5 linked regions of the Macaca fascicularis genome follow. The protein of the gene in region 4 interacts with the protein of the main gene of each other region in a pairwise test. Links are inferred from orthologs where the notes say so. Each region holds a gene or a part of one and is shown on either strand. Other genes may lie near its edges.

Region 1 (5,866 bases), on a different chromosome or scaffold from region 4:
ATCCATTTGAGGCCCTCTTCCGCAGCCAGCACTACGCCCTCCTAGACAATTCCTGCCGCGAATACCTTTTCATCTGTGAATTTTTTGTTGTGTCTGGCCCGGCTGCACATGACCTGTTCCATGCTGTCATGGGCCGTACACTCAGCATGACCCTGGTAAGATTCCTATTTCCTGTACTATTCAACACCTTTGTCCCCAGTCTTCATCAGCAGCATAGTGGGGTCATGACTCTGGTAGAACTGAAATCAATCAGGATCCTCATTCTAAAATGTCTAAGCCTTGGCTGGGCATGGTAGCGCACGCCCATAATCCCAGCATTTTGGGAGTCTGAGGCAGTAGGATTGCCTGAGCTCAGGAGTTTGAGACCAGCCTGGCCTGTCTATGAAAAATAAAAAATTAGCCAGCTGTGTGTTGATGTATGCCTGTGGTCGTAGCTACTTGAGATGCTGAGGTGGAAGGATTGCTTGAGCCCAGGAGGTCAAGGCTGCAGTGAGCCATGCACTCCAGAGTGAGACCTATCTCTTAAAACAAAAAAAAGAAAAGCTGGGCACAGTGGCTCACACCTGTAATCCCAGCATTTTGGGAGGCTGAGGCGGGAGGATCTGTGAGTTCGAGACCAGCCTGACCAACATGGTGAAACCCCATCTCCACTAAAAATACAAAATTAGTCGGGCGTGCGCAGCCTGTAATCCTAGCTAATCAGGAGGCCGAGGCAGGAGAATTGCTTGAACCTAGGAGGAGGAGGTTGCAGTGAGCCAAGACTGTGCCACTGCACTCCAGCCTGGGTGACAGAGCAAGACTCCATCTCAAAAAAAAAAAAGTCTAAGCCTTGTTACTTAGACTTGTCACAGTGTTACTTCCCATGAAATCCTCAGAGTGTAGGGTCCCTGAGACTCCCCCTGCTGCTGCCCCACAATCAGAATCAGGCAATAGCACGTGAAAACTGAGGGTCCTCCAAACCCCTGACCCAAGCTCAGCCTGGAACTCTGCTGTGATAGGCTTGTGATCGTAGATCCTGCTGCAGCCAGGTGCAGTGGTTTACACCTGTAATCCCGGTACTTTGGGAGACCAAGGCAGGAAGATTGCTTGAGGCCAGGAGTTCAAGACCAGCCTGGGCAACATGGCAAGACCTTGTCTTGACAAAAAATTTAAAAATAAGCCAGGCATGGTGGTACACACCCATGGTCCCAGCTACTTGGCAGGCTGAGGTGGGAACATCACTTGAGCCCAGATGTTTGAGGCTGCAGTGAACTGTGATTGTACCATTGCAATCTAGCCTAGGTGACAAAGCAAGAACCTGTCTCTAAAGTCAAAAACGCCGGGCGCAGTGGCTCACACCTGTAATCCCAGCACTTTAGGAGGCTGAGGTGGGCGGATCACCTGAGGTCAGGAGTTCGAGACCAGCTTGGCCAACATGGTGAAACCCCATCTTTACTAAAAATACAAAAATTAGTCAGGCGTGGTGGCAGGCGCCTGTAATTCCAGCTACTCAGGAGTCTAAGGCAGGAGAATCGCTTGAACCTGGGAGGCAGGCGGAGGTTGCAGTGAGCTGCGATTGCGCCACTGCATTCCAGCTTAGGCGACAAGGGCGACAAGAGCGAAACTCCATCTCAAAAAAACAACAACAAAAAAAGCCAAAAACATAGATCCTGGTGGGTAAGGCAGTAGGACCACCCGGGTGGCAGTGGACAGGAAAGCAGGGGGCAGTTGCATTTTACATCTCTCCCTTCTGTCCTATCCAGTGCATCATCCCCAAAGAAACACATGCGTTTGTTCATAGTCACTGAGGAAAACAAACTGACATTCTCTTTTAATCCTCTGCTTGTTCCCCAATCACATAGAAACACCTGGAGTCCTATCTCGCTGACTGCTACGATGCCATTGCTGTTTTTCTTTGTATCCACATTGTTCTCCGGTTCCGTAACATTGCAGCAAAGAGGGATGTTCCTGCTCTGGACAGGTCACTGAATTCTGGTCCTTGATGCCCAACAGGCCACAAACTCTTGGTCTTGCATGACTCTGCCCTGACCTTAGACTTCTACTGACCTGGTATCATTAACCTTTATTCCCATTGATTTGCTCCAGAGGCAGTACTGCTGCTTTTTGACTCACCTTTCTCCAACCACTGCCCCCCCATCCCCACAACTAACTGTTGACCATTAAACTGAATGGTGCCCCACTCCCCCCCATCCCTCTCCAACATTCCTTGCCGGCTGACCTCAGATTCTGATTAAGCCCACAGGTACTGGGAACAGGTGCTTGCCTTGCTATGGCCACGGTTTGAGCTGATCCTGGAGATGAATGTCCAGAGCGTCCGAAGCACTGACCCCCAGCGCCTAGGGGGGTTGGATACTCGGCCCCACTATGTGAGGGAGGGCAAGGGTAACAAAGGGTTCTTGAAAGGCAGGGCTCTAAGCATCATTGTGGGGGTTGGCCACGGTCACAGTTGTGTCATGGGCCACGCTCTGAGCAGGCATTCTGGGAGGGTGATAAAACTCATGGTGAGTGGTGCACTGTGGGTAGGAGGGACTGGAGGTAGAGTCACATCACATGGTGGCGGGTTGACCAAGGGAGTTGGGAGGTGGTGGTGGTTGGGCCAGGAGGTGGGTGTGATTTTCCTTCCCACTCTGTCCTAGATCACACGCCGCTACGCAGAGTTCTCCTCCGCTCTTGTCAGCATCAACCAGACAATTCCCAATGAACGGACCATGCAGTTGCTGGGACAGCTGCAGGTAAGGGTCAGACAGGAGAGACTTACCAGCAGCAGGGCTGCTGCCAGTGGGTGGAGGCTGAGGAGGAGCCAGAGGGGGGCCTGATGGCCTTGCTTTCTGGTGTCACCTCTTCTCTGCCTTTTCAGGTGGAGGTGGAGAATTTTGTCCTTCGAGTGGCAGCCGAGTTCTCCTCAAGGAAGGAGCAGCTTGTGTTTCTGATCAACAACTATGACATGATGCTGGGTGTGCTGATGGTAATAGGTGCTCCTTCTCCTTGTCTTCCTACCCAGAAAATTGGGTTTCCCCCACTGCTTTGTTAGCTCTGTGAGGGCAGAGACGATGCCTGTCTTGTTCAGCGTTTTACTCTTGGAGTCTGGCACAGTGTCCAGCTTAGTACAATAAGTGTGGAATGAAGGGGACATCCTGAAGTGAAGGACTGCTTTCCCCAAACTTGACATTTCCCTTTGTCTTCCCTTAGGAGCGGGCTGCAGATGACAGCAAAGAGGTTGAGAGCTTCCAGCAGCTGCTCAATGCTCGGACACAGGTAGGGGTGTGGGGAAAAGGGAAGGGACAGCTTTGTGTGCTGTTTTCAGCTCCTGTGTGTTTGTGTGTGTGTGTGTGTGTGTAGGGAGTGGCATAATGGACCTCAGGTACATGGAATTACTGTAACTCTTGATCCACAACATACTGTCATTATTGGTCTACTTTATTTTATTTTGTCTTTGGTTTTGCTTTTTTTTTTTTTTTTCCTTTTTTGAGGCAGAGTCTCGCTGTGTCACCCAGGCTGCAGTGCAGTGGCATGAACATGGCTTACTGCAGCCTCGACAGCCTGGGCTTAAGCGATCCTCCCACCTTAGCCCCTGGGTAGCTGGGACCACAGGCATGAGCCACCACGCCTAGCTAATTTTCAATTTTTTTTTTTTTTTTGTTTTTTTTTTGAGACGGAGTCTCGCTCTGTCGCCCAGGCTGGAGTGCAGTGGCGCAATCTCGGCTCACTGCAAGCTCCGCCTCCTGGGTTCACGCCATTCTCCTGCCTCAGCCTCCTGAGTAGCTGGGACTACAGGCGCCCGCCACCGCGCCCGGCTAATTTTTTGTATTTTTAGTAGAGACGGGGTTTCACCGTGGTCTCGATCTCCTGACCTTGTGATCCGCCCGCCTCGGCCTCCCAAAGTGCTGGGATTACAGGCGTGAGCCACCGCGCCCGGCCATTTTCTATTTTTAGAATGAATTTTATTTTTTTCTTTATCCATCCCCTCAAGCACTTATCCTTTGTGTTATAAACAATCCAGTTACACTCTAAGTTATTTTAAAATGTACAATTAAGTTATAATTGACTATAGTCACCCTGTTGTGCTGTCAAATAGTAGGTCTTATTAATTCTTCCTATTTTTGTTTGTACCCATTAATCATCCCCAGCCTTCCACTAGCCTTCCCAGCCTCTGGTAGCCATCCTACTCTCTTCGTACATGAGTACATGAGTTCAATTGTTTTGATTTTTAGATCCCACAAATAAGTGAGAACACATGACATTTGTCTTTCTGTGCCTGGCTTACTTCACTTAATATAATGATCTCCAATTCTATGCATGTTGTTGCAAATGACTGAGTCTCATTATTTTTTATGGCTGAATAGTGCTCCATTGTGTACATGTCCCACGTTTTCTTTACCCATTCATCTGCTGATGGACACTTAGGTTGCTTCCAAATCTTAGCTATTGTGAACAATACTGCAACAAACATGGGAGTGCAGATACCTCTTCAATGTATTGATGTCCTTTCTTTTGGGTATATATCCAGCAGTGGGATTGCTGGATCCTATGGTAGCTCTACTTTTAGTTTTCTGAGCAACCTTCAAACTGTTCTCCAAAGTGTTTGTACTAATTTACATTCCCACCAACAGTGTATAAGGGTTCCCTTTTCTCCACATCCTTGCCAGCATTGTTATTGCCTGTCTTTCGGATAAAAGCCATTCTGAGTAGAGTGAGATGAGATCTCACTGTAGTTTTAATTTGCATTTCTTTGATGATAGTGATGGTGAGCCCCTTTTCATATATGCCTGTTTGCCATTTGTATTCTTTTGAAAAATGTCTATTCAAATCTTTTGCCCATTTTTTAATAGGATTATTAGACTTTGTCATGTAGTGTTGTTTGAGCCCCTTATATATGCTGGTTATGAATCCCTTGGCAGATGGGTAGTTTGCAAATATTCGTTGTCTCTTCACTTTGTTATTTCTTTCGCTGTGTGTGCAGAAGCTTTTTTTTTTTTTTTTGACACGGAGTTTAGCTCTTGTTGCCCAGGCTGGAGTGCGATGGTGCGATCTTGGCTCACCGCAACCTCCGCCTCCTAGGTTCAAGCAATTTTCCTGCCTCAGCGTCCCAAGTAGCTGGGATTACAGGTATGTGCCACCATGCCTGGCTAATTTTGTATTTTTAGTAGGGATGGGGTTTCACCATGTTGGTCAGGCTGGTCTCAAACTCCTGACCTCAGGTGATCCGCCCACCTCCATCTCCCGAAGTGCTGGGATTACAGTGTGAGCCACCGTGCCCAGCTGTGCAGAAGCTTTTTAATTTGATGTGATCCCATTTGGCCATTTTTGCTTTGGTTGCCTGTGCTTGTGGGGTATGGCTCAAGAAATTTTTGCCCAGACCAATGTCTTGGAGATTTTCCCCAGTGTTTTCTTGTAGTAGTTTCATAGTTTGGTCTTAGATTTAAGTTTTTAATCCATTTGAATTGGTTTTCATATGTGGCGAGAGATAGGGGTATAGTTTCATTCTTCTGTGTAATGGATAGCCAGTTTTCCCAGCACCATTTATTGAAGAGACTATCTCTTTCTTTTTTTTTCCTCAGACGGAGTCTTGCTCTGTCACCTAGGCTGGAGTGCAGTGGTGCAGTATTGGCTTACTGCAACCTCCGCCTCCTTGGTTCAAGTGATTCTCCTGCCTCAGCCTCCTGAATAGTTGGGATTACAGGTGCCTGCCACCACGCCGGGCTAGTTTTTGTATTTTTAGTAGAGGTGGGGTTTCACCATGTTGGCCAGGCTTGTCTTGAACTCCTGACTTCAAGTGATCCTCCCGCCTCGGCCTCCCAAGTGCTGAGATTACAGGCATGAGCCACCGTGCCTGACCAAGAGACTATCTTTTCCCCAGTGTATGTTC
Region 2 (6,355 bases), on a different chromosome or scaffold from region 4:
TAACATCAAATCAATGTTTAGTGGGCACAGAATTAACTTCAGATGGAGGTTGAATTTATCTCCTCTCAGGTTCCCTTGATCTTTTTTCTTCTGACCTCTGTCTTAGGTTCCCACCTCCTCCATCAAGAAGGTTGCTGACTGATTAGAAAGCAGTGGCTCTTTTGAGTAGGTAGAATTAGGTCTACACAGATATTCTTCAGAGCAGAGTATCTAACAAACCTTTGTCTTCCTAATGTTGAGCAATTATTATAGCTTAAGTTACACCTTTTACTAACAAAGTTCCTGAATTTCACTTCCTGTCAGCCTGAGTGAAGAACATAAGAAGAAGAAGAAGAGAAAAACATACATTATTTTTAGGAAAATAAAAATGCCTTGATAAGATGGGGACTTGAGAGCAAGGAGAGCATGCTGCCCTAAAGCCACAAATGCATGGGGCTGCATTAGCTAGTTCTGTGCACAGTACTTCAACTAACCTGGACTTTGGATTGTCAGAACAAGAAAAGAATGTTAATTTAATCAGCAGTTCCCAGGGCCTCTCAGAAATCCAGAGAGATATAGGTAACATTTTTAGGGCTCCGGGGATGAAGAAGAAGAAGAAAGAGGAAGAGGAAGAAGATGAGGAAAATACCAAGACATTATTACAAAAATTGTGATATGTTTTTAATTATTTATATTTAACAAATTCATGTCTCATATGCAAACACAACAGAATATATGGGCTACTAGGAGTATAAGATTTGTATCAAGTACCCGCTGGGCACTACAGATGGACTGGTCCCATGCTGAACCCAAGTTTAAAGTTATGTCATTAAAAACATTTTTTTTTCTTTCCAAGTCCTGTGAGTACATCTCTGGAACTGTGTAAAACAACTTGTGTAAAACACCAAGTGTTTTCCTCAAGTTCCTGGCAGCTCCCAGTAAACATCCTTTCCTTAATTTAAACACAAAGGAACCCCCACCTGTCTAGATATCCTACCTAAAGCCAGAGCTTTATTTATTTTTTTATTTTTTCCCCTCAGTTTAGACAGATCTCACTCTGTCACTCAGGCTGGAGTGCAGTGGTGTGAACTTGGCTCACTGCAACCTCTGCCTCCTGGGTAGCTGGGATTACAGGCACCCGCCACATCCCGTTAGTTTTTGTATTTTTAGTAGAGATGGAAGTTTCACCATGTTGGCCAGGCTGGTCTTGAACTCCTGAGCTCAAGTGATCTGCCTGCCTCAGCCTCCCAAAGAGCTGGGATTGCAGGCGTGTGCCACCGTGCCTGGCCTAAAGCCAGAGCTTCTGTCACTTAAGGCAGTGGATTTTTAAGATGGAATTGGGGGGCCTACAGTCCCATTTAAGCATCTAATGAAAGCTCTGGTTCTTAACTTCAGAAAAAAAAAAAATGTACACCTACAACAAAATTATGTGTACACTTGGGGACTGGGGAGCAAGATACTCCATAAAGTCTATCCAAATATGTTGTATGGGCTAAGTGTGGTGGCTCATGCCTGTAATCCCAGCACTTTGGGAGACTGAAGTGGGAGGATCACTTGAGCCCAGGAATTTGAAACCAGCCTAGGCAACATGTGAGACCCCTGTCTCTACAAAAAAAATTTAAAAAAAATTATCTGGGTATGATGGCACATGCATCTGTGATCCCAGCTACTTGGGACGCTTATACAGGAGGATTGCTTGAGCCTTGGAGGTGGAGGCTGCAGTGAGCAGTGTTTGCACCACTTCACTCCAGCCGGTGCGACAGAGTAAGACCCTGTCTCAAAACAAAAAAATATATATAGTCTATGGATTCCAGGTTAAGAATGCCTCCTCTGAATAAAGGTTCTCCGTTCCAGGAGTTTGTTATTTCTCCATGAAGACAGGACTCGGTTTGAAGGGTGCCAGAGGCTCTGAAACAATCGGTTGATTCAGTGGTGGTGATGGAGGGAAAAGTTGACAGGAATGTCCACACCAGCACCACACAGCGAACGGGAAAGGCAGTGCTTGGGACAGAGGCTCCAGGCTCTGGGGCGTCAGTACCCACGACCATCCCCTGTGTTAGGCCTCTGCATTGCCTGGCAACCAAGCTACCTCGTCCGCACAAGCGTAACAAGTCCTTGTTCGCCTCTGCCTCTTCCGGCGGGCACTGGAAACCGCCGGGCCTGAAGCGGGCGCGCTTCCTGCCTGGAGGAGGCTGCGGGTCTCAATCCGTGGCGCCTCGCCAGCTACAGGACGACGCGGGCTCTTGAGGGGCAGAGCAGCACATCATGCAGGTGAGGGTAGGGACTCGCCGGGCGACCCTGGAACACCCAGTGGGTCTCCAGCTGGGCCCGAAGCCAAGAGACACAAATGGGGAGGGCGAACACAGGAATTAGGCTCTAACATTTGTTCTTGAAAAGTGCTAAATTTTGCGTGCTTCTCTGTCTAGTTTTGAGAAAAATCCTCTAGGAAAACGCCATTTTTTCAGCCTTTAAGACTTGTGTCTGTCGCTGGAGAAAACGTTAAAAGAGTTGCTGCGTATTGTATTTCACACCAGAATCATAGAAATCTTACTGCTGCATACTATTTTTGACTTAAGAAATAGACCAGCAACGTTAGCCCAAGTGTAATTCAATTTGTCCTCCTCCACTACCTTAAAAAATGATAAGAACAGAAAACCTACTAGTTTTTGTAGAATAGAAAGCCTTGAAATAAACCCACACATCTTTTCAAAAAGTTTTTAACAAGAGTGCTAAGACCATTAAATGGGCAACAGTTAATTTTTTTTTTCAATAAATTGTGCTGGGTAAACTGGATATCCACATGCAAAAGAATGAAGTTGGAACCTTATCTTAGACTTTGTGAATCTGAAATATCTGAAACAGGTTTCAGTTGACTTAGAAAGTTTATTTTGCCAAGGTTAAGGATGTACCCATGACACAGCCTTAAGAGGTCCTGATGACATGCGTCCAACGTGGTTGGAGTACAGCTTGCATTTATATATGCTACAGGAGTGCACCACCACGCCTGGCCACTTTTTGTATTTTTAGTAGACACAGGGTTTCAACACGTTCGCCAGGCTAGTCTCGGACTCCTGACCTCAAAAGATCTGCCTGCTTTGGCCTCTCAAAGTGCTGGGATTACAGGCTTGAGTTGGGACCCAACCTATAATCTTGGGATAATGGGACAAAGAGCTGGGACTACAATGCCTGGCTAGCAAAGCTTACTTTTAATACACTCTGCTTTTCCTGGTTTCCTCCCCATCACTTGCTTCCCACATACCCTTTTTTTTTTTTCCAGCTAAACATGTTATTTAAGTCTGAATTCTAAGCAACCTCTTTGAGATACACTCATTTTCCCTGGTATCTCCAATGTATCCATGAAGTATACATACTAATAAACAGGATTTTTCTCTTGTTAATCTGTCTTTTATTACAGGAGTCTGTCCCAGCTAAGAAGTCAGAATGATAGAAAATTATTTGAGGTGGAACCAAAGGGTTTGGTTCATCAAAGGATGGGAGATGAGTAGGAGGGTGAACTGGCGGTAAACGCATGTCTAGGAGAATTTAGGGAAGGATATCTTGGTGCTTAGTGGAACAGAGGAGAAAATGAAAAGGATTAAACCCCGTCAAAAAACATTTCGGCCCAAGACAGCTCTCATATGGATTTGTAACCTGAGTCGTATTGTTGGGTAGTCCAGCAACCTTAAACTGTGAATTCGTTATATATTATAGTGCCCTCAAATACCTAGAAGAAAAAAAATATAAATCCTCTATAGAGGAAGATGTGTTTAGTGTAGGCTTTAAGGAATTCCCATCAATAAGTTTTCGAGGACAGAAAGCAGAAATCAGTGAAAGGTAACCAAGCACACAAGGAAATAAGCCACCGTGAGACCATGAACCAAGAAAAACAGAGTTACAGAGATTTTTAGATAACAGAATGGTCAGAAATAGGTTATAAAACAACCAGACTGGCCAGGCACAGTGCCTGTAATCCCAGCACTCTGGGAGGCCGAGGCGGGTGGATCACAAGTCAGGAGATCGAGACCATCCTGGCTAACACGGTGAAACCCTGTCTCTACTAAAAAAAAATACAAAAAATTAGCTGGGCATGGTGGCGGGCACCTGTAGTCCCAGCTACTCGGGAGGCTGAGGCAGGAGAATGTCATGAACCCAGGAGGTGGAGCTTGCAGTGAGCCGCCACTGCACTCCAGCCTGGGCGACAGAGCGAGACTCTGTCTCAAAAAACAACAACAACAATAACAACAAAAACAACTGTACTTATAAATACTGAAAACTATAAAACAGACAAGAGTAGAATAGAAAGCCTTGAAATAAACCCACACATCTTTTCAAAAAATTTTTAACAAGAGTGCTAAGACCATTAAGTGGGCAATAGTTAATTTTTTTTCAATAAATGGTGCTGGGTAAACTGGAACCTTATCTTAGACTTTGTGAATCTGAAATATCTGAAACAGGTTTCAGTTGACTTAGAAAGTTTATTTTGCCAACGTTAAGGATGTACCCGTGACACAGTGTTAAGAGGTCCTGATGACATGCGTCCAATGTGGTTGGGGTACAGCTTGCATTTATATATGTTAGGGAGATGGGAGACATCATTCTCAATATGTGTAAGATGTACATTGATTTGGTATAGTAAGGCAGGACAAGTTGAAGAGGGGGTTTCAGGTCAGAAGTAGATAAGAGAGTCCTTGATTCTTTTGAGTCCTTGATTAGCTTTTCACTGAATACACAATTTAGTCTGGCTCAGCGAATCTGCATTTTTACATAAACAACAGAGCAGAGGAAGCAGTCACATATGCATTTGTCTCAGGTGAGTCTGAGAGGGATGATTTTCAGTTCCAGTCTGTCCTTTGTCCACAAGGAATTTCCTTTTGGGCAAATTGTGAGGGAGGTGTGTAGCTTTTTGTCTTTGTAGCTATTTTATTTAGGAATAAAATGAGAGGCAGATTTGCTTGACATAGTTCCCAACTTGACTTTTCCCTTGGCTTACTGATTTGGGGATCCTAAGATTTATTTTTCTTTCATAACTGTATACAAAAATTTACTCAAACTACATCAAAGTCCTATAGCTAAAGGTAGAAATCTCTTAAAAGGAAACATAAGATAGACTCATGACATTGAGTTTGACAGTAATTTCTTGGTTATGACACCAAAAGCACAGGTAACAAAAGAAATAAATAAATTGTACTTTACCAAATTTAAAGCTTTTTTTTTTTTTTGCTTCAGAGGACATTATCAAGAGAGTGAAAAGATAAGTAGTGAGGTGTGGTGGCTCAAACCTGTAATCCCAGCACTTTGGGAGGCTGAGGCAGGTGGATCATTGAGGTCAGGAGTTTGAGACCAACCTGGCCAACATGGTGAAACCCAATCTCTACTAAAAATACAAAAATTAGCTGGGTGTAGTGGTGGGCATCTGTAATCCTAGCTACTCAGGAGGCTGAGGTAGGAGAATCGTTTAAACCCAGGAAACGGAATTCGCAATGAGCCGAGATTGCTCCACTGTACTCCATCCTGGGCAATAGACCGAGACTTCATCTCAAAAAAAAAAAAAAAAAAAGACAACCCACAGAATAGAAAATATTGGCTGATCATATATTTGATGAGAGAATAATATCCAGAAAATATAAAGACTTCCTAAAATTCAACAACAAAAAGACAACCCAATATAAAAATGGGCAAAAGATTTTTCTATAGTTTGTGTCGGCTCCAAAATTCAGGTGTTTCCAATGTGATTGTATTAGGAGGTGGGGCCCTTAAGAGGTGATTAGGCCATTCGTCTCCTTCCTTGTAAATGAGATTAGATACCCTTATAAAAGGGCTTGTTAGAGAGAGTTTGTCCCTTTTTTTTTTTTTTTTAAACTATCCTGTCTTTTGCCATGTGAGGACACAGTGTTTCTCTCCTATGGAAGACACAGTGTTCAAAGTACCATCTTGAAAGACGAGATCAGACCCTCACTGGACAATGAACTTGACAGTGCCATAATCTTAGATTTCCCAGCCTCCAGAACAGTGAAAAATAAATTTCTGTTCTTTATAATTTACCGTCTAAGATATTTTGTTATAGAGTACAAAATGGACTCAGCCAAACTTGAATAGACATTTCTTAAAAGAAGATCTATAAATAGCCAATAAGCACATGAAAAGATGCTTAACATCACTAATCATGAGGGGGATGCAGCTCAAAACCACAATCTACTTCACACCCATTAGAATGTTTACGATAGAAAAGATTGACAATAACAAAACTGTTGATAAGGATGTAGACAAATTAGAACCCTTTTGCATTGCTGGTAGGAATGTAAAACTGTGCAACTGCTGTAGAAAACTGGTAATTTCCTTCCAAATTAAACAGATAACATATGATCCAGTAATTCTC
Region 3 (6,388 bases), on a different chromosome or scaffold from region 4:
GCTAGACAACTCCTGTATTTATTATTATTAAGACAGGGTCTTGCCCTGTTGCCCAGGCTGAGTTGCAGTGTTGTGATTACAGCTCACTGCAGCTTGGAATTCCTGGGCTCAAGCAATCCTCCCACCTCTGCCTGAGTAGGTGGGACTACAGGCTGGAGCCACTGCTCCTGGCACCAATTCTGTATATCTCAACACTCATGATTCCCCAAAGAGAAAGAAAAACCATACTTTTATTCCAGCATCCGGTATGCCTTGTGTATACCTGTATACAAGTTTTAAAGTTGTTGGTTTCATCTCATTAAATAATAGTTAAGAGTCCTCTGAGGCAGCAGGAGGATGTGGAGAGTAGCACAGGTCAGGGTCAGGTGACCTGAGTTCTATGAAGGGTAGCAGCAATAGCAACTATTATTGGGTGCTTACATGTACCAGGCGCTATGCTAAGTGCTTTACATGTATGACTTCACTTCATGGGGCAAGGATACTCATCAGTAGTCTCATTTTACAAATGAGGAAACCGAGGCTCAAAGAGGATAAGTCACTTAGCCAAAATGTCCCAGCCAGGATTCTTTTGGGTGAGCTCCCCAAAATCTGTCTTCTAACTCCTACCCTATACTCCCTCCACTGGGAGCTGTGCGACTTTGAGCAAGAAGCTTCATCCCATTGGGCCTCGGTTTACCATTGGAAAGGACTTGTGGGCGAGGTTGAATGAGCGCAGCAGATGGCCTGTGGTTATTTAGAGCAGTGCTTCCCTGGTGGTTTGATACCACAGCGATCATAGAAATACTTGTGTGGCCCGGTGAAATGGAGGCGGAAACAGTTTCTACCTTCACAGGGCCTGACTGGAGGGGGCTGAGGACGATGCGGAGGTTTCCTGTATTAAAACAGACTACCCCCCCTTCCCAACGCACAACCCCGAGCACGTGGCCGTGGGTTCCCAAGCGCCTCTCCTCCCAGGGCCATGGGCATGACCACTGAAAAGCGGGTTAGGCCGGGGAGTTCAGAACCCGGAGTGAATCGAAACTACCCCAGGTAGATGGCAGCGAAGAAAATTCTGTTCTTAGGGGAACGCAATCTTCGGACACCAGAAGTTCCCCTATGATGCTATTCTGTGGCAGCCTCGCACTTGAGCCGGATGAGAATTGTAAAAACCCAGGTTGGGCGACAGGACGGCGCGTCTTCCCGGCTCCTTTCCAGAGTTTAGACGGAGCCATGCAGACTCAGCTGGCCTTTGAGTGTAGGTGGGCAGGCCCGAGGCGCCCTCTCGAGACCCCTTCAACCTCCCGGGGGCAGCAACACCGTGTCGGCTATGAATGGCGTCTCTGGAAAACTCAGGCTTGGAACAGGTAACCCCGCGGTTTCCGCAGGCCAGAAATTAGCCCCCGCAACCGAAGGACGCGCAGGCTGGGAGTGGCGGCGGGGCCGCCAGTGGCGGACCTCCACTGAGGGCGGCGGGACCCGACCGCAGGGGCTGGGCCCTGAGGCCACTATGGGGTGCGCTAGGCTAAGGTCTCCTGGGGGCAGAAGCCAGTGCGATTGTAGCTGGCCAGCAGGCTGGCCGGCCTGAGGCCTGGCAGAGACCCGAGACCCCGACCCTTCCCACGCGGACTCCGTGATCCCTCTCCCAGCAGCCGCCCACCTGGGGCCCTGAGCCAATAAGAGCTCGAGGTATATATGACTCACCGTGCCTGGGCCAATCAACTTGACGCGCGCTTTTCGCCAGCACCTCGCGCGATAACTTGGCGTCCTCGGCCTTCACAATAAAAACTCTCCGCCGGAAAACGACCTCTCCCCGCCCACCGCGCCGACACCGGAAGCGAGGCGTGTCTGCGAGATCACTCCGCGCTCCGGCGGCGAAGGAAAGAACGGACTCTGATCATAGAAGTAAAGTAGTGCACCTCTCTCGTTTCGTGAGGTCATAAGAACAAACACCTTTTCTCGTCACAGCTACGCGCTGGGCATAAACGGTTGGGGCGTCAAAGGGAGGGAAACGAGCGGGCGGGAGGAGATGGTCACGTGGCCGTGGCGGAAGGATGCGTCGGTGCTGCGTCCCCTTAGAGACGAAGTCTATAAAGGGCCGGCGGGCGGCTGTTGCGGCCATTTCTACTTCGTCCGCCCACAAATGTAGTTTGGTTCGCACGTGTGCGCCTTCCCTCCTCCCCGCCCGCAGGGTCCACGGCCACCATGGCGTATTAGGGGCAGCAGTGCCTGCGGCAGCATTGGCCTTTGCAGCGGCGGCAGCAGCACCAGGCTCTGCAGCGGCACCCCCCCCCAGCGGCTTAAGCCATGGCGTGAGTACCAGGGCGGGTCGTCCAGCTGTGCTCCCTGGGCCGGCGCAGGTTTTGGGTTGGTGGGGTGCGGCCTGGGGCCCAGGGCGGTGCCGCCAAGGAGGAAGCGATTTTACGAGCGCCCGGGACGCGTGGTCTTTGCTTGGGTGTCCCCGAGACGCTCGCGTGCCCGGGATCGGGAAGGCGCATTCTGGTGCCAGGACTGCTTCCACAGGGGCCCTGCCGCCCTCGGACCCCGAATCCCCCAAGGGTCCCAGGGGTCTCGGCTTTCCCCCCCCGCGAAACGTGGCAAGAACCAAGATGGCGGCGGCAGGGCGGCGCCGCGGGCGTGAGTCAAGGGCGGGCGGTGGGCGGGGCGCGGCCGCCCTGGCCGTATTTGGACGCGGGGACGGAGCGCCTTCCTCTTGGTGGCCGGTGGAAGAATCGCCTGGTCTCCGTGAGCGTCCATTTTGTGGAACCTGAGCCGCAGCAGGGAGGGGCGGATGCAACTGCCCCGTTGCCGACTCTGTAGATGGCTGGACTAGAGAAGTCCCGCCTCGTAAGTGGAAAGATGAAATTCTCAGACCAGCTAACCTCTAATGGGAGTTGGCTTCTGATTCCCATTCAGGCTTCTCACGGCATTCAGCAGCAGCGTTGCTGTAACCGACAAAGACATCTTCGAATTAAGCACATTCCTCGATTCCAGCAAAGCACCGCAACATGACCGAAATGAGCTTCCTGAGCAGCGAGGTGTTGGTGGGGGACTTGATGTCCCCCTTCGACCAGTCGGGTTTGGGGGCTGAAGAAAGCCTAGGTCTCTTAGATGACTACCTGGAGGTGGCCAAGCACTTCAAACCTCATGGGTTCTCCAGCGACAAGGCTAAGGCGGGCTCCTCCGAATGGCTGGCTGTGGATGGGTTGGTCAGTCCCTCCAACAACGGCAAGGGTGAGTGGGCCACCACCACATCGTCTGGGTGGGATCTAGGGTTAGGGGCCTGTTATCTTTGTATCTGACTCACTTGGCCCTGTCATTCAAATCTTTTGCAGAGGATGCCTTCTCCGGGACAGATTGGATGTTGGAGAAAATGGATTTGAAGGAGTTCGACTTTGATGCCCTGTTGGGTATAGATGACCTGGAAACCATGCCAGATGACCTTTTGACCACGTTGGATGACACGTGTGATCTCTTTGCCCCCCTAGTCCAGGAGACTAACAAGGAGCCCCCCCAGACGGTGAACCCAATTGGCCATCTCCCAGAAAGTTTAACAAAACCCGACCAGGTTGCCCCCTTCACCTTCTTGCAACCTCTTCCCCTTTCCCCAGGGGTCCTGTCCTCCACTCCAGATCATTCCTTTAGTTTAGAGCTGGGCAGTGAAGTGGATATCACTGAAGGAGATAGGAAGCCAGATGCCACTGCTTATGTTGCCATGATCCCTCCGTGCATAAAGGAGGAAGACACCCCCTCAGATAATGATAGTGGCATCTGTATGAGCCCGGAGTCCTATCTGGGCTCTCCTCAGCATAGCCCGTCTACCAGGGGCTCTCCAAATAGGAGCCTCCCATCTCCAGGTGTTCTCTGTGGCTCTGCCCGCCCCAAACCTTACGACCCTCCTGGAGAGAAGATGGTAGAAGCAAAAGTAAAGGGTGAGAAACTGGATAAGAAGCTGAAAAAAATGGAGCAAAACAAGACAGCAGCCACTAGGTACCGCCAGAAGAAGAGGGCGGAGCAGGAGGCCCTCACTGGCGAGTGCAAAGAGCTGGAAAAGAAGAATGAGGCTTTAAAAGAGAGGGCGGATTCCCTGGCCAAGGAGATCCAGTACCTGAAAGATTTGATAGAAGAGGTCCGCAAGGCAAGGGGGAAGAAAAGGGTCCCCTAGTTGAGGGTAGTCAGGAGCGTCAGTGTGCTTGTACATAGAGTCTCTGCTGTTGCTGTGTGTTGGAATAAATTATTTTGTAGGGAAAGTACTTGTGTGGATTCTTTTTCTGGCAAATTAGCCGAGTGAGGCGCCACCCACCCATCCCAAACTGGTCATAACATTCCTTGTGAGATCTGGGGAGGAGGGCAGTCCAGGACTGAAGATGGGTACCCAGAGTGGGAACTGCTCGCCCTGCTAGGTGTAAGCCACGATGCCTGATGACTCATGGGGCCATACAGCCAGATAGTTGGCCAACTGTAGCAAGTTGGGTCCTTTACCCAGAGGTGAGTTCGCTGGTTGTGTAGGGAGGAGGCTGGAGCTCTCTGGGAGGTTGGGAGGGAGGGACAGCCTGGGCCTCCACCTATTTATTCAAGAGGGCTTCATGCCAACAGCTGTCGCCTGAAACCCTGGATAAGCTTGCACAGTCCTTGAGATAAGCACACAAGATTAGTTTTCACTTGTTACCCTGAGTTCTGTAGAAGCGTGTTCCTGAAGAAAGAAATGGCTCCTTTTCGGAATTGATGCTGAAGCAGGACAGGAGCTGAGGGTTGGCCTCCATTTCTCCTTATGGGGTGGAAGGATGACATCCTGCACAGGTTCTGGCTAGAGCTGGGCACAAAGGCGACAGTTCCTGTGAAGGCTGTTGTGCCTGTTGCTACCTAAATAGAAGGCCTGGCATCATGCTAGGATGGATCAGCGCCTAGAAACCACGCCTCCTCACCGCAGCTTCTTCCTGGCGGGGAGACCTCGCCTTTCCAGGCAGGCGATGTCTTTTGTGTTGCGGATGAGTGCTTGAATGCAAGGATCAGCGTATCCTGGGTAGGTCTGTCTTTCCTCTTGTGTCCTTCAGGATCACAGTTTTCCTTCTGTGGAAGGTGGTGTAGACTGGGTGTGCCCGGGGAATGGCTGGGAGGACAGTGAGGGTGAGTGCGCCCAGGCACTGCTGTAACTGAGCACAGTACGTGTGTTCACCCCGTCCCCGAAGCACACCCAGGAGGCAGACGCCACACTCAGGAGGATTTTTTTTTTTTTTTTTTTTTTTTTTTTTTGAGACAGGGTCTCTCCCTGTTGACCAGGCTAGAGTGCAATGGTGCAATCTCGGCTCACCACAACCTCCACCTCCTGGATTCAAACGATTCTCATGCCTCAGCCTCCCGAGTAGCTGGGATTACAGGTGCTCGCCACCATGCCCAGCTAATTTTTGTATTTTTAGTAGAGACGGGGTTTCACCATGTTGGCCAGGCTAGTCTCGAACTCCTGACTTCCTGATCCACCCACCTTGGCCTCCCCAAAGTGCTAGGATTACAAGCATGAGCCACCGCGCCTGGCCTTTTTTTTTTTTTTTTTTTTTTTTTTTTTTTACTTTTTAGAGATTGAGCCTATTCCCCAGGCTGGAGTGCAATGGTGCAATCTTGGCTCACTGCAACCCCTGCCTCCCAGTTTCAAGCGATTCTCCTGCCTCAGCCTCCCGAGTAGCTGGCATTACAGACGACTGCCACCATGCCCAGCTAATTTTTGTATTTTTAGTGGGGATGGGGTTTGTCATGTTGGCCAGGCTGGTCTCGAACTCTTGACCTCAGGTGATCCGCCCGTCTCGGCCTCTTAAAGTGCTGGGATTACAGGTGTGAGCCACCACGCCCAGCTCACCCAGGAGGATTTTGAGCAAAGAGGTAGAGCTGGAATTTGAAGCCAGGACTCGGGCTCCAGTCTGGGCTCTTCATTTTGCCTCTTGAGCTGGAAACAAATGGCCCGTCATGACCTTTCCGGTGCCCAGTATAGACGGTCACCTGAGAGCCAACTGTTGACGGAATGTATGCAACTGCTTGTGGAGAAGTTGCCCGAGGCACCGCTGGAAGTGGGCATCACACATGGGTCTTGGACCTGGTGCTCTTCGAGGTCTTTCCTGCTGAGATTCTAGAATTCTCCAAAGGCCATGGGCCTCCATCCACATCCAGGTACTAAATAGGCGTTAGGGTGCGGCCAACAGCATCAGAGTCATCTAGTGCCAGTGGGGGTCGGCCCTCATTTGGCAGACGAGAAACTGAGGCACCAAGAAGGGCAGTGCAGGCTAGTGGTGTGGACCCAGGATGCTGGGGCTGTGCCCTCTCCAGGCCCTTGCAGCTAAGGCCTCCCACACCCAGAAGGCACCAGCTCAGGTCACAGTGGCTTTGCCCTTCTCCTTGACCTCACCTCCTCCCCTCACTGTGC
Region 4 (5,866 bases):
CTACTAGGTATATAAATCCTCTTATAAGCCCACAAAAATGTTATAAAAGTTTAGTTATTGGTCCACTTTTTTTTTTTTTTTTTAAATAGATGGAGTCTCACGGTGTTGCCCAGGCTGGAGTATAATAGCTACTCACAGGTGTGATCATAGCACACTGCAGCCTTAAACTCGTGGGCTCAAGCTCTCCTCCCACTTTAGCCTCCCAAATAACTGGGACTGTAAGCTTTTACTATAGGTGTGTGCCACCACGCCTGACAAGTTTAGATTTTTTTTTCTTTTTTCTTTTTTTTTTTTTTTTTGTGTGTGTGTGTGTGTGTGTGTGTGTCACCTAGGCTGGAGTGCAGTGGCATGATGGTGGCTCACTGCCGCCTTGACCTCCAGGGCTCAAGGGATTCTTCCACCTAAGCCTCCCGAGTAGCTGGAACTACAGGCACACTACCATTCCCGGCTAATTTTTGTATTTTTTGTAGAGATGATGTTTCACCATGTTACCCAGGCTGGTCTCAAACTCCTGGGCTCAAACGATATGCATGCCTCAGCATCCCAATATGGTGGGATTACAGGCATGAGCCACTGTACCCAGCCCAGATTTGTTTTTAAGTGTATTTTTCTTTTTTAATTTTTTTTTTGTTTTTGAGACAGAGCCTGGCTCTGTCACCCAGGCTGGAGTGCAGTGGCATGATCTTGGCTAATTGCAACCTCCACCTCTGAGGTTCAAGTGATTCTCCCGCCTCAGCCTCCCAAGTAGCTGGGATTACAGGCACCCGCCACCATGCCCGGCTAATTTTTGTGTTTTTAGTAGAGACAGGGTTTTGCCATGTTAGCCATGGCGAACAGTTAGCTGGTCTCAAACTCCTGACCTCAAGTGATCCACCCGCCTCGGCCTCCCAGAGTGTTGGGATTACAGGTGTGAGCCACCTGCCCGGTCTTAAATGTATTTTTCTTAGCATAGCCCAATGAAACTTTGTATTTTTGTGTCAGCTTTTAAAAAAAGAAGAAAGTCTAGGGAAAATGGAGCAAGAATTGGAGGCACGAACCAGAGAACTTAGTCGTACCCAGGAGGAGTTGATGAACTCCAACCAGATGTCATCAGACTTAAGCCAGAAGCTAGAAGAATTGCAGAGACACTACTCAACGCTGGAAGAGCAGAGGTTCTTGCTTGGTCTGTGGGGCCCTTGGGAAGAGGTGTTAGTGTAGTTCTGGCTATAGCCTGCTCACCTTTCCCCGTTGTTCATTACACCATTTTCTGATTCCAGTGCTGGCAAAGGCTTCTGGACACATACTTACCTGCCTAGGACTTAGGCCCCACCCTACCTCCAACCCACTTTCCCCTTCAGCTGCTGAAACTCAGGACAGTTCCAGCCCTGCTGAGCAATTCAATGTGGTTTTAGTTTGTAAGGTATTATAGACTAAGGAGAGGCAGGTCAGGATTTCTTTCTTAAACTAGGATGGACTTTTTCTCCTTGGGCTCCTGCTTCAGAGAGAGCTGAGGCTTTTCCCATTGAAAACTGCATGTGGCTGATGATGCTTGTAGCCCTGACATAGAAAGAACCATTTGTATTTTTCCTACAGAAGACTGTATATTAGATGAGATATCCAAATTTGTTCATTGTCTGCTTTCTTTTGATGAAGAGATCATGTGATAGCTTCAAAAACAGGTGCAGAAAGTAAGATCACAACCCTGGAACAAAAGGAACAAGAGCTCCAAGCACTCATTCAGCAGCTTTCCATTGATTTGCAAAAGGTAAGTAGAGTATGAGGAGAAGACCTGGATTTCTAAGATTCATAAAAACTAGTTCTTTCAGATATTTCTGCCTAAGAGTGACTACTGAACATATATTTCTCATGCAGTCCACATGGCTCCATTTCTTATTCTAGCCAGGCTGCACTCAGATGGAAATGGCCATACAATTGCTTAGCAGAAGTAGTCAGTATTTTCCCATCAGGAATTCTTATACCATTTGGTCAACTCAAATATGTCTCTTTTTTTTTCTTTTTTTTTAAGACGGAGTCTTGCTCTTACTGCTCAGGGATTACAGGCGCCCGCCACTACACCTGGCTAATTTTTGTATTTTTAGTAAAGACGGGGTTTTACCATGTTGGCCAGGCTGGTCTCAAACTCCTGACCTCGTGATCCACCCACCTCGGCCTCCCAAAGTGCTGAGATTACAGGCATGAGCCACTGTACCTGGCCTGACTCAAATATATCTTTAAGCACATAATGGACCTTGAGCATGAAAAATATAACAATAGTGGCTGACATGACCAGGGCTGTACCTTTGACATACTTGGCTGTAATCCAGTTTGTTCTATGGCACATAATCAAATGATGTCATTACAATTTGTTTTTTCATTTCATTGACATACATTTGTTTTCTTTCTACATTAGGGCTGTGCTAAACTCTGAGAATATAAAGATGAAGAATAATATTACTGAATATAAAGTAGTGTTTCTTAGGCCCAGCACTGTGACTCAAGCCTGTAGTCCTAGCACTTTGGTAGATCAAGGCAGGAGGATCACATGAGGTCCTCCTCTTGACCCCATCTCTACCAAAAAAAAAAAAAATTAGCCAGTGTGGTATGTGCACCTGTAGTTCCAGCCGTTTGGGATCATGAGGTGGGAGGATCGCTTAAGCCCAGGAATTCAAGGCTGCAGTGGGCTAGGAACATATCACAGCACTCCAGCCCAGGCAACAGAGCAAGACTGTCTTTAAATATAAAAATAAGGCTGGGTGTGGTGGCATGTGCCTGTAATTCCAGCTACTTGGGAGGCTGAGCAGGAGTTTGAGTTAAACCTGGGAGGTGGAAGTTGCAAGTCAGCTGAGATTGCACCACTGCGTTGCAGCCTGTCTAGGTGACAGAGAGAGACTCTGTCTCAAAAAAATAATAATAAATAAATAGAAATAAAATAAAGTAGTATTTCCCAATGGCATATTTCTTATTGGCATTTTGAGTAGAACAACTTGTATTGTATGATCGTCCATTGCATTGCAGGACATTTAGCATTCCTGGCCTCTGGGTTCTGAATGCCAATAGCATCCTTTAGTCACTGACATCCAGCCCTTCCCCTCACATCACAGAACCACCCCCCTGTTGGGCAGTGCCATCCACCCTACCCTCATCTTTTGAGAAATGCTGATCTCAAGTGAGACAGAGCCTTAGAGCATAATTACAGTACAGTAAGATTTTGTCAATAGAGGTCTGTATACCCCTTCTAGCTAAGTATTATCATACTTACAGATATCTAAGTGGAAACTAAGAGAGGTTATTGACCTTGTTCACAATTATACAGTAAGTGACAGAGTTGGATTCTAACCCAAGTCTTATTCCAAAACTCATGCTTATTCTATTGCACTTTGCTGCCTCACAATAAGGAGCACCCAGTAAATATATATATGAATGAATGACTGTGATACAAGCTTTCTACCCTCAACGAACTAAAAATCTCAGTACAGATGTTGTTTTCCTTCAGAGGCTTACAGTTTCATTATAGAACTCAAACCTATTGTAATCACAAGAAAAGAAATGCTCAAACAAGAAGTCTCATGTAAATGAACTAGATTTTTCTTTTCCTTTTTTTTTGAGACACGGTCTTGCTCTTTCACCCAGGCTGGAGTGCAGTGGCATGAACGTCTCACTGTAGCCTCAGCCTCCCAGGCTGAAGTGATCCTTCCACCTCAGCCTCCCAAGTAGCTGGGACTACAGACACACACCACTACAACAGGCTAATTTTTATTATTATTATTATTTGTAGAGATGGGGTTTTGCTACGTTGCCCAGGCTAGTCTCAAACTCCTGGGCTCAAGCAGTCCACCCGCCTCAGCCTCCCAAAGTGCTGGGATTACAGAGGGGAACCACCACACTCAACCCTAGATTTTTCAAATACAAAATATATGCCATAGGGGAAGTACATTCCAGCCCAGGAGTCAAGGAAATCTTCCTAGAGGAACTGGAATGTCAAGGATCAGGAGGACAACAGGAGGCAGAAAAGGCAGAAGGTTAGAGAGTACATTTGGGGTCGTGGAAGAAGGGGGACAACAGACACACAACTTTGGTTTTTGTATTTTGTTTTTTTCTGAGACAGGGTTTCACTTTGTCACCCAGGCTGGAGTGCAGTGGCGTGATGTTGGCTCACTGCAACCTCCACCTCCTGGGCTCAAGCAATCCTTCCGTCTCAGCCTCCTGAATAGTAGGGACTACAGGCACATGTAACCATGCCCAGCTAATTTTTGTATTTTTATTAGAGACAGGATTTTACCATGTTGGCCAGGCTGGACTTGAACTCCTGGCCTCAAGTGATCTGCCTACCTTGGCCCTCAAAGTGCTGGGATTATAGGCACCTGGCCACAACTTTGATATTCAAGGGACCCTTTGATGTCAATTAGAACCATCTGTTGTTTTTATAATTGGAAAAATGGGGCTCAGGGAAGTCCAGAGTGTGGTCACAGTAAGTTTCTTCATTCATGCTAGAAAGATTAGTTAAGCCTTACTATGTGCTGGGCTCTGTGCTGGGTGTTCATAATATTGTGGTGAGCAAAATAGATACAGTTCTTGCCTTTGTAATGCTTATAGTCTAGAAGGGAAGTCAGACATTAATCAGTAATCACATATATAATTACTAACTGTGATGAGTGTTCCGAAAGAAAACTACGAGATGTTGTGAGATCCTATTAAAAGATATCAGATCAGATCCAGTCTTGGAGCTGTAGAACACTTAAGGAAGTAACACTTGATGCAGTGCTCAGGCTGGAGAGAAAGGGATAATGAGAGAGAATTTCAGGCAGGGAACAGCATGAACAAAAACTCTGAGGCAAATAAAAGTATTAGCACATTCAAGGAACTAGAAGAAAGCCAGTGACATACAGAATAAGAGAGAATAACAGATTACTCTGGCCATTAGGAGACTGAGAGGGTCTTCCACTTAGGAAGCTTTTGCAGTTGTTCGACCATAAGATGATGGAGGCTTTGACAAGTGTGGTGGTGAAGATAATAGTGGGTAGACAAATGTAAGAAATATTGACAGACTTACTAATATAACAGATATGGGAGGAGAGGAAGACAAAAGTCTGTATTTTTATGGGTGATTTATTGGCTTCTGGCTTGGGCAACAGATGGGCTGGTATTGTGTGAAGATTGTTAATTTGGAATTCACTTTTTTCTTGTCTTTACTGAGTATATATAAAATCATATTTATAAAATATGAGTACGATAGAAAGTATAACAAGGCAATGAGCCCTCTGAGCTATCCCTCAGGTTAAGAAAAAGAACAATGTGTTTATCTTTGAGGTTCCCTCTGTGCCCTTCACTATTCCATCCCATTCCTTTTTCCTTTGGAAGTAAGTACTATCCAGAGATTGCTTCATTGTCTGCTTTGCTTTCTAATGTTGTCAGTTTTATCCCTAAACAATATCTTCTTTAGTTTTCCATGCTTATTAATGTTGTATAAATGAAGTCATTCTGGCTTTTTTTGCTGCATCTACTGTGAGAATGAAGACCATTCTCAGCAATCAGACTGTCGACATTCCAGAAACTGTTGACATTACTCTGAAGGGACGCACAGTTATCGTGAAGGGCCCCAGAGGAACCCTGCGGAGGGACTTCAATCACATCAATGTAGAACTCAGTCTTCTTGGAAAGAAAAAAAAGAGGCTTTGGGTTGACAAATGGTGGGGTAACAGAAAGGAACTGGCTACCATTCGGACTCTTTGTAGTCATGTACAGAACATGATCAAGGGTGTTACACTGGGCTTCCGTTACAAGATGAGGTCTGTGTATGCTCACTTCCCCATCAACGTCGTTATCCAGGAGCATGGGTCTCTTGTTGAAATCCGAAATTTCTTGGGTGAAAAATACATCCGCAGGGTTC
Region 5 (5,866 bases), on a different chromosome or scaffold from region 4:
ACTAAAGACAGAGGCTGTCTGCTGTACTAGGGTAAGCCCAGCACCTAGCACAAGCATGATATTCAACAGACATTTGACAAGTGTCAGCTGAATTCATGGCCAAATGTAATTGTACAACCACTATGGAAAACAGTGTGGAGATTCCTTAGAAAACTAAAAGTACAACCACCATTTGATCCAGCAATCCCACTACTGGGTATCTACCCAGAAGAAAAGAAGTCATGGCTGGGTGCGGTGGCTCACGCCTGTAAACCCAGCACTTTGGGAGGCCAAGGCAGGCGGATCATGAGGTCAAGAGATTGAGACTATCCTGGCCATCATGGTGAAACCCTGTGTCTACTAAAAATACAAAAGTTAGCTGGGCGTGGTGGTGCATGCCCGTAGTCCCAGCTACTTGGGAGGCTGAGGCAGGAGAATTGCTTGAACCCCGGAGGCAGAGGTTGCAGTGAGCCAAGATCACGCCACTGTACTCCAGCCTGGCGACAAAGCGAGACTTCATCTCAAAAAAAAAAACACAAAAGAAGTCATTTTATGAAAAAGATATTTGCTCACACAAGTTTACAGTAGCACAATTCACAACTGCAAAAATGTGGAACCAACCCAAATGCCCACCAATCAACAAGTAGATAAAGAAACTGGTACATATATATATAATGGAATATGACTCAGCCATAAAAAGGAATGAATTAATGGCATTCGCAGCAACCTGGTTGGAATTGGAGACTACTATTCTAAGTGAAGTAACTCAAGAATGGAAAACCAAACATCTTGTGTTTTCACTCATAAGCGGAAGCTAAGCTATGAGGATGCAAAGGCGTAAGAATGACACAATGGACTTTGGGGACTTGGGGAAAGGGTGAACGGGGTGCGGGATAAAAGACTACAAATTAAGCCAGGCACGGTGGCTCACGCCTGTAATCCCAGCACTTTGGGAGGCCAAGGCGGGTGGATCACGAGATCAGGGGATGGAGATCATCCTGGCCAACATGGTGAAACCCTGTCTCTACTAAAAATACAAACATTAGCTGGGTGTGGTGGTGCGTGCCTGTGATCCCAGCTACTCGGGAGGCTGAGGCAGAATTGCTTGAACCAGGCAGCTGGAGGTTGTAGTGAGCTGAGATCACACCACTGCACTCTAGCGTGGCGAAAGAGTAAAACTCCGTCTCACAAAAAAAAGACTACAAATTGGGTTCAATGTATACTGCTCAGGAGATGGGTACACCAAAATCTCACGAATCACCACCAAAGAACTTACTCATGTAACCAAATACTACTTGTTCCCCAAAACCCTGTGGAAATAAAACATTTCAAAAAAAATAAAATAAAAAATAAAATAAATTCATGGCCAAATGAATTTAAATTCCTAAAGCGGTATCAGCATGAGCAGAGAATTAATCAAGGCTAGCACTGCTGCCTTCCCCCACCTTCAGCAGTCCTTCCCAACCCCCCAGCAGAAAGGAGCTGGAGCACAGAGCCCTGCCCTGTGGTACCTGTGAAAGGCATCTGCCGAGAGGTCCTGTCCGCCGTGAGACAAGAGCTGGTCATTCTCCAGGAGGCTTTTCCACTTGGAGATTATCTCGGTGCCGTAAGTGCAGTCCTGAGGAGAAAGGCAGAGTAGCTGAGGGGCAGCAGGCTTTCCAGCCCTCCCTGCCCACTGGACCAACTCATCAAGCAAGGGTAAGCCCAACCAAGAGGCAGGGATAAGTTGATTTTCCCAACAACTCACTTTGAGGGGATCCCACTCCTTGAAGTACTCCTTCATGAGTGGATAGACGATGGCCACGGCGAGGTCCACACGGTCGGACATCCTGTACTCCTCATAGTACTTGTCCTGCAGGGTTTCGAAGATGCGGGCACACTCGTCCAGGGTGAGGGGGTTGCTGCAGTCGGGCTGCATCCGCCGCTCGCACTCCTCCACCATCTCCAGGACCTTGCTGAGGTTGGAGATGACCCGCTCCTCATGGTCCAGGACCTCGGTCATCTTCTCCAGCTCGTGGAAGAGGTTGACCACCATGTCCCGCTCATACTGTAGCTGCCGGTCATTCTGGATGATCTCCTGCTCCGTGAGGTCAATGAGCAGCTGCAGGTTGTGCTCCAGCTCGGGCAGCGCAAAGCCTGGGGCCTTGGCCTCTTTGCCAGACTGTGGCAGCTGTTGGGACTGCAGCGGCAGCCCATCATCGGGAACGTTGTGCTTGTGGCTGATCTGACTGTAGCTGTAGTAGACCTTTTGCTCCCGGCCTGTCATGTCTATGACCTTGGAAAACGTAGAAGGACGAAGGTTAACACCACTGCGGCACTGTTAAACACACAGCTAAGCCCAGGGGAAGGCCCCATGACAGGGAAGTGTGTAGAAACCACATTATTCAACAGAGCTGGAGAAGGGCAGTGTTGTAAAGTGGGATCCGCACTGTCCTAGCCTAAAGGAGACTCCAGGGACAAAATCAGATGCAGCAAGCAGTTCTAGGTTGGATCACTTTGAGCAAGCCAGATGGAGAAGACTTTTTAGGGAAACATGAAATTTAAATAGGGACTGAGTATTAGTAGATGTGAAAATTTATTTTAATGGAAAGGTAGAAGCTGTACTGATCAAAGAAGGTAACACAATCAGAATATCACATTTTGATTTAAAAAATGCACATAAGCATAGAAAAAGATCTAGGATGTATAACAAGATGTTAACATTTGGTAATCTTGGAAGGATGGAAAATATTTCCTATATTTCTCCCCATTTCCTAACTTTCTAAAATGTACTACACACTGCTATTATAATAACAGTTGTTTTTTTAATTTAATTTTTTAAACTTTATTTTTTGAGATGCAGTCTTGCTCTGGTGCCCAGGCTGGAGTACAGTGGCACGATCTCAGCTCACTGCAAGCTCCGCCTCCCGGGTTCATGCCATTCTCCTGCCTCAGCCTCCCGAATAGCTGGGACTACAGGCGCCCGCCACCACGCCCGGCTAATTTTTTGTATTTTTAGTAGAGACGGGGTTTCACTGTGTTAGCCAGGAAGGTCTCGATCTCCTGACCTCCTGATCCATCCGCCTTGGCCTCCCAAAGTGCTGGAATTACAGGTGTGAGCCACCGCGCCCAGGCTTTTAATTTTAAAACAAAATAAAACATACAAAAGGCTAATTGAACAAAGGCAACCTAGGCAATGAGCTAATTCCAATATTTTAGGAAAACAGGAAATGTGAATATGGACTGCACTTCTGAAGCAGAATGATTCATCACCACTTTTTAAGTAAGTGTGTGATCCATGAACCACCAGCATTAGAATCACTGGAGGAGGAAAAAAAAAAAAAGTCTTGAGGTTCAGTTTAGACTCAAAATTCCTGGGAGGCACCTAGACGCCCGTATTTCTTATCAGGTCGTCCAGATAATATAACAGCACACGTTTGAGAACCCCACTAAAGGCTTTGAGGTCTATGACACACTATATATCCTACAGCAAATGACAACAGGCAACTGTCACCATTGTTCTTTGACTACTTGGAAAAGTAATGGAAAACGTAATACACTATATGCACGTAACAGTGAGTGAAAATTGAATGTATCTTAAAAAAAGAAAATACTCAATGCTGACTAAGGAGCCCTGGGAACTCTCTCCTGCCCTCCTGGTCAGACAGAGTTAATACAACCTTCTGAGTATTTGAATGCCTTAAGTACTTTTGTATTTAACATGGTGATTGCACATGTACATCTCTATCCTTAAAAAAATGTCTCAAACAAAGACGAAGTTTTATATACAAACTAACCAGTCAAAAATCCAAACTAAACCAGATAAAAGCTAAATGCCTAACAACGGAGGTAGGATCAAGCAATATAGGACAGCCACCCTCTAGAATTCTGCACTCATTATAAATCTTCACAGTGAGTTTTTAATAATAAGAATGTTACTGAATTCACTGATGTAAGCTCCAGAAACACAGGAACATCATTTGGTTTACCAGTGTAGTGCCGTGAAGAGTGCCTGGCAGAGAAGGAACTTGGTAACTATTACTAAATATGGGAGTGTAATGAATAGGAACATGATATTAATAGTATTCATTACACTCCTATAAAATAAGTGAGAAAAGCAAGGTATAAGAAAAAAAAAAAAGCCTACCTAGAAGATCCAAAAAACCCTAGAACATGTTCAGTGATTAATTCTGGGGTGTGGCTCCTGTACCAAGTGTCCAAAGGTCCCCATACCTTGACTTGAGAAAGCTCCTTCTGGGGAGCAGTGAGCTTCTTGCTAATCCTGCCCTTGGCCTTCAACTCTTCCACGGTCTTGTAAGAGTATTTGGGCTTCTTCTTGCTTCCACTTGGGTCTTTCCTCCACTGGCTCAGCTCCTTCTGAAACTCCTGAACCAGAAGGATACAGTCAGATGCAGCAAACCACTTTTTACAACAGGTGAGACAGCTAAGACCATTAACAGATGTCACCATTCACTGTCTTAGATTTATTTCCAGGTTCTATATGAAGGAAGGAAAGGATGCACCTGCATGACACCAAAACTATCTAATGATAACTCCTTGACCCCATTTACCCTCTTACAAATAATGAGGTTCAGAAGGCAGGTGCACCAGACGGGAGGGAGAAACAAAAATAAAGGAAACAACATGTATTGAGCATCTACTATGGGCAGGCACTATACTAGTTTAAATGTACCTCATGTAAAACTTAGAAATGCAATGTAAACGATTTTTTAAGTACACAATATCTTGTTTCTCACTTTAAAATGAAGATAAATAAGCAGGTCCTAACTCTCAAAGCAAAGGTATCTCTTATAATCAGGGTCTGCAAAATGTACCTGCCGTAGCTACAGGAGGAGCTACGGCAAGCTTGTCCAACCCGCAGCCCAGGACGGCTTTGAATGCGGCCCAACGCAAATTTGTAAACTTTCTTAGCATGATGGTAGTGGAATCCAGCCCACAGAAGTTGGTTTTGGAGTTGTCATTATGTTTTTCTCATACTGGTTAAGACTTGTCATTTTTTTCTCTAAAAGTATCTACACATCTGGCTACTTTGGGAAAATCAGAGGATCAGGCAATACTAAGCCCACATCCTCATAAGCAACAATCACCTAGAGCTGAATAAAGATTTACCTTCTAGACAGGCTAAGGCCTCACCTCTGTGCCACAGTCCCCACCACTCTTTATTGTCTAGCATCTGGCTCATCTTACTTGCTTCTGTGGTGTGCCTGGCACCTGTAGGCTTCTAAGTCTGAGAACCCCTGACTCAGAGCGGTCAATCCCACATTATCAAATGACTGTGTCATCAAAAGGTCAGTGACAAGAAGAGTAACGTGTTTCTTTGCAGCATCCTGCTTTCCCCCATAGATTCAAATGGGAAAAGAGTAATACTTCAATCAACAAAGCTGGCCCCTTCTATCACTGGGGAAAAGGGACACACAGCTGCCAGCAGATGGCTCCCTGCTGCACTTGGGATGAAACCCAAGCACCTAAAAATGGCTGTCAAGGCCCATCTTGTGGCCCGCCTACCCCTCTGAATGCACTTCCTTCCCCTCTGCTTTGTGTACCACCCTCCCACCACAACGGCTTCCTTTATGGTTTCTTAACCGGCAAGCTCAGAGCCTCTCAGTGTCCTCAGGCTTCTCAGCTCACCCTTCTGCCAAGTCTCAACTGAAATGTTTCCTTTCCTCAAAGGTTTCCCTGACCAGCCTATTTATAAAAGTAGGTCAACACCACCTCCCAACCCCCAACCTTATTTTCTGTCTAGGCAGGTCCTAGCACCTTCTGCCATTTCAACTGCCACTTCCACACCATAGCTGCTTGTTTACTCTCTGTCCACCGTGCGCCCTCTCATCATGGTGCACCTAGCCTTCAGCCCAGCACCTGGCATATGGTACGTGTACAATAAACA

Evidence for each region.
Region 1: the proteins of GOLGA1 (region 4) and VPS52 interact in binary tests that used the Homo sapiens proteins (3 or more experiments, as listed by UniProt). The two-hybrid records come from large-scale screens. The link is inferred for Macaca fascicularis from reciprocal best matches to the Homo sapiens genes GOLGA1 and VPS52.
Region 2: the proteins of GOLGA1 (region 4) and PDCL2 interact in a two-hybrid assay, tested with the Homo sapiens proteins (2 studies listed by BioGRID). The two-hybrid records come from large-scale screens. The link is inferred for Macaca fascicularis from reciprocal best matches to the Homo sapiens genes GOLGA1 and PDCL2.
Region 3: the proteins of GOLGA1 (region 4) and ATF4 interact in binary tests that used the Homo sapiens proteins (3 or more experiments, as listed by UniProt). The two-hybrid records come from large-scale screens. The link is inferred for Macaca fascicularis from reciprocal best matches to the Homo sapiens genes GOLGA1 and ATF4.
Region 5: the proteins of GOLGA1 (region 4) and TFIP11 interact in binary tests that used the Homo sapiens proteins (3 or more experiments, as listed by UniProt). The two-hybrid records come from large-scale screens. The link is inferred for Macaca fascicularis from reciprocal best matches to the Homo sapiens genes GOLGA1 and TFIP11.

What each region holds. Positions count from the first base shown.
Region 1 is NC_088378.1:138,437,111-138,442,976, forward strand, and holds part of VPS52 (vacuolar protein sorting-associated protein 52 homolog), read left to right. Parts: coding exon 1-155; intron 156-1,841; coding exon 1,842-1,960; intron 1,961-2,242; coding exon 2,243-2,366; intron 2,367-2,636; coding exon 2,637-2,732; intron 2,733-2,857; coding exon 2,858-2,965; intron 2,966-3,189; coding exon 3,190-3,255; intron 3,256-5,866. UniProt on the Homo sapiens protein: Acts as a component of the GARP complex that is involved in retrograde transport from early and late endosomes to the trans-Golgi network (TGN).
Region 2 is NC_088379.1:78,300,474-78,306,828, forward strand, and holds the start of PDCL2 (phosducin-like protein 2), read left to right. Parts: upstream 1-2,122; 5' UTR 2,123-2,244; coding exon 2,245-2,250; intron 2,251-6,355. UniProt on the Homo sapiens protein: Essential for male fertility, spermiogenesis and acrosome formation.
Region 3 is NC_088384.1:12,122,982-12,129,369, reverse strand, and holds ATF4 (cyclic AMP-dependent transcription factor ATF-4), read left to right. Parts: upstream 1-2,095; 5' UTR 2,096-2,288; intron 2,289-2,892; 5' UTR 2,893-2,984; coding exon 2,985-3,210; intron 3,211-3,311; coding exon 3,312-4,141; 3' UTR 4,142-4,226; downstream 4,227-6,388. UniProt on the Homo sapiens protein: Transcription factor that binds the cAMP response element (CRE) (consensus: 5'-GTGACGT[AC][AG]-3') and displays two biological functions, as regulator of metabolic and redox processes under normal cellular conditions, and as master transcription factor during integrated stress response (ISR).
Region 4 is NC_088389.1:19,138,552-19,144,417, forward strand, and holds part of GOLGA1 (golgin subfamily A member 1), read left to right. Parts: intron 1-981; coding exon 982-1,151; intron 1,152-1,632; coding exon 1,633-1,744; intron 1,745-5,486; exon of another isoform or gene 5,487-5,487; coding exon of another isoform or gene 5,488-5,866. Other genes in the region: large ribosomal subunit protein uL6-like, read left to right, coding at 5,488-5,866. UniProt on the Homo sapiens protein: Involved in vesicular trafficking at the Golgi apparatus level. Involved in endosome-to-Golgi trafficking. Mechanistically, captures transport vesicles arriving from endosomes via the protein TBC1D23.
Region 5 is NC_088384.1:25,181,525-25,187,390, reverse strand, and holds part of TFIP11 (tuftelin-interacting protein 11), read right to left. Parts: intron 4,345-5,866; coding exon 4,192-4,344; intron 2,255-4,191; coding exon 1,727-2,254; intron 1,598-1,726; coding exon 1,491-1,597; intron 1-1,490. UniProt on the Homo sapiens protein: Involved in pre-mRNA splicing, specifically in spliceosome disassembly during late-stage splicing events. Intron turnover seems to proceed through reactions in two lariat-intron associated complexes termed Intron Large (IL) and Intron Small (IS).